Rattus norvegicus: one gene and its partner. The protein of the gene in region 2 purifies or fractionates together with the protein of the main gene of each other region. This does not show direct contact. Links are inferred from orthologs where the notes say so. Each region holds a gene or a part of one and is shown on either strand. Other genes may lie near its edges.

Region 1 (4,122 bases), on a different chromosome or scaffold from region 2:
TTTTGTGCTTGAAAGTTCGCCCTGAGGAAGACTCGGGGCTGTCCTAAGATCCTGAACACCCAGTAAGGTCGAAAGTTGGCTAATCACGACTATCTGTTGGCTTTAACCACATCTGAGGAGTCTTCTCTGGTGGATACCTCACAACAGCCTCCTCTGTTATGTCCTCCTCTGCTAGGGTTCACCAAGAAGGCTCTCTCAGGATGTTAGCACCTTGTTAGTGGACTTCTCAGCCTCCAGAACACTGTAGGGAGTAGATGTTCTTTGTAATTACTTGTCTGTGCTATTCGGTTGCAGCCACAAAAGACTGGCTCACAAACCCACCCACCTCTAACTCCAGGAATGATCAGCCTGGAAATTAAAAGAGTTTGTCCGACGTCCCCGAACCAGGTATTTGCAGATTCAGGACTCATTTCCCATCAAAATATCCCCAGGCTAACAGAAATAACCTTTCTGCTATACCCTTCATATGGAAAACTGTCAGGAAGCCCCAGTTCTAAACCTAAATTCTGAACCTGCCTAACTTACTTATTTTCCTGGAACCTCTGCTGACCAGAGCCTTTCCCTTTCCTCTCAATCTGTCTTTTCCTCACAGTAATTTCCTCCAAGCCTGTGCTGACAATGAACCTCCCACCTTTTAATGCCCTTCTTCCTCCTTTTCAACTTTAGCTGTCATCCGTTCCTCAGCACAGCGCTGTTTAATGCTTTCCATTCCTGATGTGTCGTTTCCCCCCAGGGCACTCCTACTCCTACAGAATTAAAGCACAAATCTAGTCTCCAGTGGGGTAAGCACCTCCTACCCCAAACTAACAAGCCACCCTCTTCTATCCTTTTTTGATTGCCTGGACAACGTTACTATCTTGGGTTTAAATGTTGTGAATAGCTAACGTGTGTTGTGGCTAATGGTTGTAAATGGAGTGTATGCTTTGTGGTATACCTGGAAAGTAAAAGTAAAAAGTGTTCCAGATAATGCAAAACAAACAAACGATCGAAAACCAAAACTCCTCACAGACAAAACATGTTCCAGGACAGCCAGGACTACACAGCGAGGCACAGCCTCAAGAAAGCTAGCAGGAGGGAGGAAGCACGGTCCCTCCGCAGGCTCCGTCCAGCGTCTCCGCGAATTTGGGGCGGCTCCGCCTGTACGCGTCCCGCTCCGGCTCGCCAGCCCTGAATCCTACCCGCCTGACCTAAGCAGGCCGCAGCTAGCTCCGCCCCTCCCCGGCAGCGTGCTTCCTTAACCACGCCCCTCAAGGAGGGAGCCCTATGATTGGCCCACAGCCGTCATAAATTGGCCAATCGCGCGCTCTCGGGGAGCTTTTGCGCACCGCTGCGTGCGCGGAGAACATGGCGGATAGACTCACGCAACTGCAGGACGCTGTGAACTCGGTGAGGGCTTTCCTCTGTTCGCCAGCCTTTCTTTCTTGACGGGAAGAGAGGAGGAAGGGGCGAGGCGAGGCTCCGGGGAGCGTACAGGTTGAGGTCACCGCGGACGGCGCGCCCGGGAGGCCGGGGTCTCACGGAAGCCACGGGGCTAAGGAGACAGGCCTGCCCTGTGGGGGGACCCGGCCCGGCGGCCTGTCCTGAGAGGAGGCGCGACCCGCCGGTCTCTCTTGAGTGGGGTTGGACCCGGGGCCTCTCCTGAGGGGAGGTGGGAACTTGAGGAGGGGAACGAGTGGCCTGCACTAAGGATGGGACCGGACGGCTTCTCCTGAGCGGAGATCCTCGGCCAGGTATCCCGGAACGCGAGTACTCTAGTCCCAGGGATGCTTCTGGAACCTCTTTTGTGGGGCGGGACAAGCTTAAGCACTTTTGTGTATAATCCCTCACCCGCGTTTCAATTTGCCAAATGGATCCCACCTGTGATCGAACTCAGGCGGCTGAGACAGGAGGATTGCAACGAGCTCGGGGCCAGCCCGAGCTCCAGTTTGATATCCCATCTCAGAAAACAAAACAGAAAAGACCACAACAAAGTGTTGAGTGTTTGTAGGTTGGTGTATGAGTGGCCAGGGGGTGAGGTTGCTTTGGCCTTTAAAGGATGTGACTCCTCCGCTCTTGGCCACTCTGTCCCCAATAGTTGGAGAGTAACATCTTCTAGAGGAGTCTAGAACCTGGTTTCTCCATTTCTTTGCACTTGTTTAAGTCTGCTTTAGGGTCTTCCCTATGAATGTACACAAGGGATTTTTTTGTTTTGTTTTGAGATGGTTTTGCTGTGTAGCTCTGGCTGACCTGCACACCATGGAGACCAGGTTGGCAGTTAAAAACAAGAAAACAACTTGAGAATCATAAAATCCACAGCAAAAAGCTCCTGAAAACTAGCTTTTCAAACTCTATCCCCTCTGACTGTTATTCTTGCTAAATATACATGAATGGGAAGCTAAAAAAATACCGAGCCTGAAATGGTGACCCACACCTTTAATCCCTGACACTCAGGAGGCAGAGGTAGGCAAATCTGAGTTTGTGGCCAGCCTCAAAGTGAGTTCCAGTACTATGTACAGCCAGAGCTTTGTAGACAGACACCGACTCAAACAAGAATTTAAAAAGTACTTCTGCTTATTTCCATTAAGAATGCAACAGTTGTCCATTGGTAGTTAAAAATCTCTTCATGTCATTGAGGTTGAGTTTGATGTGGAAGTGCCTACAGAGTAGTGTATGCCTGCTGGAAAAAAATCCTAACACCTAGTCCCCTGGCCAGTGTTTTCCTTACAGGGATGTTATAACTTGACTTCTCGGTAATACATCACTTTGAGAGTGCTTTGAAATTGCGAATCCACTAGTAGGAAAACTAGCCTACTTTGTGCACATAAAGTGGTCTTAAAGTTGAGGGGCTATCTCTTAAATAAATGCTGATGAATTCGACAAGGTACGTTCTGTTTTACAAAGATTCCCTGAGCTACCAGCCAGCCTCTCCCTAGAAAACACTTCTTTGTGATTGCTTTACAAATCTTAATAAGGCTGTGTAGGAGCTTATCTCCTAAAAATGCATGCTCATGTAGGATACAACCATCTTGACTTATCATAGGTGGACTGGTAATCGAGTTAATATGGATGTCTACTGAGTCCATAGGTAATGTGTTTACAAAGAACTAGTCAAGGAGCTTACAAAGATGTCATAAACTCAAGAGACTTTTTAGATGATGCAAACAAACCCCATATGTGGCTAGGGAGTTAGAGTGAATTGTTTTCAGCTCTTAAGAGCTAAAGTAGATCGGAGCCTAGAGCGATATTAACTGTTTGGAAACTCCATGAGTACAGAAGCTATATCACGTTCATCTCTATAATATTTATGTGCAGTACTTGTCGTAGGGCTGGTTTTTCAATAAATATTTACAGATAAACAGTGATTCTTGAATGAACTTACAGAACAGGACACATGGCTACTGGATTGAAAAAGTTTCATTTGTATTTTTCTTTCTTATAACAGTGCTGCTAAGTAGAATACAGCAACTTAAAAAGCCACCCAGTTATCTTTTCAATGACAATTCAGATTTTTGTCATTGAAATAATAGTAGCAAAACAATGGAAATGTTTACTGATTGGAAGTAGTAAATGAGGTTTCAGAGTTAGGACTAGAGAGGACTGTGTTTAGTTTTGAATGGTGTGAACTAATATTCTCAAATTACTTAAATTCAGTGTTTTTTAGCTTTGCTTCTTTTGAGACAGAATCTTTTTTTTTTTCCCCTTCTTTTTTCTTTTTTTTTCGGAGCTGGGGACCGAACCCAGGGCCTTGCGGTTGCTAGGCAAGCGCTCTACCACTGAGCTAAATCCCCAACCCCTGAGACAGAATCTTATTATATAACTCTGGCTGGCATAAAACTGTCCACGTAGTCCAGGCTAGCTTCAAACTGACAGAGATCTGACTGCCTCTGTCTCCGCCTCCCACATGCTGAGATCCATCATGCCTCAACAAATGAATTGTAAGCAACAATGTTACAACTTGAGTCTTGAATACATTTCTGATAATTTACAGTAAAAAACATTTTTTTCATGTAGTACAAACTGGCCTCAAACTTCCTTATGTAGTTGAGGATGGTGACCTTGAACTGCTCTTCCTTGCCTCCCTCCTCCAGAGTATTGGGTTACATGTATATGCTGTTACTCCTAGATTTTTCTTCAGCGCTGGGG
Region 2 (2,643 bases):
TGCCACTCCTACGGTCAACTTAGGGCAAGTGTCGCCTTCCAAGTCTCCAATTCTGCAGCTGAGAAATCGAGGCACTCTGTGCAGGGGTCAACATGGTCTCCAAGGAGTCAGCACAACTGCTGCAGCCGCCCAGCCAAATACTTGGTTTTTCCAGGGTCTTGACCTTCGGGGATGCTCAAAATTGTCTTGGGACCGGGGGAGGAAGGGTCTTGTCAACCCTGCTTTGGGAAGGGCCACTTGCAGGGAACTGTACCTCCTCAAATCTCAGAAAGGCACTCACTTCTCAACAATGAATGGCTGGGCTCCCCAGGGTCCCCTGCGGGAGACGTGTAGGCTTTGTGCTCATTTAACAGATGTACATGCTGGGCGGAAGGAGGAGCGCAGTGAACATTTTTGCCTCTACACCACCCACTCAACACACCACTCTAATTCTTCATTTTAAAGACCTGCAATCCCAGGGTCTGACTGCTAGCCCTGAGAGAGACAGAGACAACAGGCAAACCATGTGTCCTGAGAACAGAACATACTTTTAATTACATATGTGAAAACATGACAGGTCAACACACTGGAACAGAGAAGCCTCCGAGCCTCCAGCCCTTCGAGGAAGCCTTCTTTCTTCCCTGTCAGGAAGATCCGAAGCTCCTGCATTTCACGTGCTCTGCCCTTACAGGAACTGGGCAGAGCCTTAAAGCTGGTCCAGCCACTGCTTCGCCTTGGCAGAAAGGAACTGACTGGGTTAAAGGACAGCCCCAAGGCAGAGGTGGCTTCATTGTCACCCTCTATTCAAACTCAGAGTCCACTTTTCTGCCCAAACCACTGACATTCCAGGTCCCAAGTGTGAAGCGTCCTGGACAGACAGAACGTTTGCTAAAACACCCCGGTCAGTCAGCACTCCGCCAACAACACCCCAGCCAGCACTCCGCCAACAAAGCCAGTTGGCAGGCACCTGCTAAGTCCTAAGCTGAGCCCAGGCTGTGCCCATTTCAAGATCCAAACAATCCTGGGTACTTCTCACCTTCCTCCTGAGAGAAGGAAAGGGCCATGGCGCCCTCAGTGTAACAGTCCCTGGGAGACAGAGAACACAGTGTGCTACCTGGGACTCGCTGGGCACTCTCTACAAGTAGAACACAGCGATGGCACCTCCAGACTTAGCTCCCCATGCCCTTTAAACCACACATCCCCTGGCTGAGAAACTGCCCCCAACTGCTCCTGCCAGCAACTCTGCTCCAAACTAGAAGTGTGCAGAGACCATGTACAGGGTAGCAAGTATGGCTGACTCCTTGGTGAGAGCGGAGAGGACGAGGCATGAATCAGGGCAGAGCCGCTTACTTAACCGCCTCTCTGAACCAGCATGGGAAGAAGGACGAAGGGCCCCGGGCAAGCAGTGCGCTGGCTATTCTGAGCACTGCCTGAAGTGATGGAGACAAAGGCAGCCGAGCCTACAAGGTGAGGCGAGATGCAGGAGGCCAGCGACTGAAGCTGGAGGCTGGTTGGCAGAGCTCTGGGCTGACGCCCCCAGAGATACAGTTTCATTCAGTTGTTCAAACAAAAAAGGAAGTGAACTGTTTTGGGGGAGAAGCCACCCACCCTCTGGCCTTTCAACACAATATTCATACTCTCACAGCCTTCTTTAATTATAATAAATCCATGCCATCTGAGTGCAGGCCTAATTTACCCCGTGAATTCTATGCAAATGCTTCATGAAACTGCTGTTGATGGGAACAGTATGTACCTGATGCCATGCTGATAGTGGGAGTGGGAGGAGCTCAGGGAGGAAGGGAACAGCTACCCCCTCTCCCTCTGATGAGGCCCAAGGCATAGAGAGTGGAGGCTGAGTAGAGCCACCCAGGCCCCACACCAGCCACATGTGGCCTCACAGTTTAGAGCTGGGCTCCCAAGGAGCTGGACAGCACAGTGTGACGCTTTCAGTCTGTTGGCAGCTTTGCTAGGAGCTGGTCCTACTCCTTGGGGATCTCAAACATGCAGAGGCTCTTGTACTTCTGCAGAAGCTCATTCTTGGTCCTGACTTGCTCTCGGAGGCTGTGTAGCTGCTGCTGTTGCTGCTCAGGGCTCACATGGATGCCAGGCATGGTGCCTATGAGCTTCCGCATCTCCTGGAACTTTGTTTTGAGGGCGTTCAGGTCCTGGTGGAGATCCGGGCTGTCCTTGTCCATGCTGGGTGACAGGGGGAGTAGAGGGCAGTCAGTCAGTTATTAGCATGTGTAGCTCATTTCCACAATGGCTTCCTTGTTCTACACCTCTGATGACTTTTAGAATGTTGTCAGACATGTCTGTTCCCTTACTAGGTTACCTACCCCAGAAGACAGGGATTGGTCTTTTATTTGTTTTGTTCTTTAGCTTTAAGCTCATAAAAACACTCCCAATGAGCACACCTGACAAGTCAGATACTTAAAATTCTCGATGATGGCAGGGACCAACTTGGCTTCGTCACAGCTGTCTCACCAACCTGGCCCTACACATAGGACAACTGTGGGTAAAGAGCACTTGCACAAGTATGACAACCCGAGTTTGGAGCTCCACCATTCATGTAAAAGCAGGGACACACGTGATATAAACCCAGCTCAGCCTTGGGATGGGATGGGGGTGTAGAAACAGGCTGAAACAGCAAGTCTCAGGTTCCGT

Evidence for each region.
Region 1: the proteins of Med9 (region 2) and Med21 purify together in Homo sapiens (co-immunoprecipitation; 8 studies listed by BioGRID and IntAct, counting the BioPlex papers as one, with this or other methods). This does not show direct contact. The link is inferred for Rattus norvegicus from reciprocal best matches to the Homo sapiens genes MED9 and MED21.

What each region holds. Positions count from the first base shown.
Region 1 is NC_086022.1:181,289,959-181,294,080, forward strand, and holds the start of Med21 (mediator of RNA polymerase II transcription subunit 21), read left to right. Parts: upstream 1-1,315; 5' UTR 1,316-1,344; coding exon 1,345-1,386; intron 1,387-4,122. UniProt on the Homo sapiens protein: Component of the Mediator complex, a coactivator involved in the regulated transcription of nearly all RNA polymerase II-dependent genes.
Region 2 is NC_086028.1:45,262,854-45,265,496, reverse strand, and holds the end of Med9 (mediator of RNA polymerase II transcription subunit 9), read right to left. Parts: intron 2,176-2,643; coding exon 1,959-2,175; 3' UTR 509-1,958; downstream 1-508.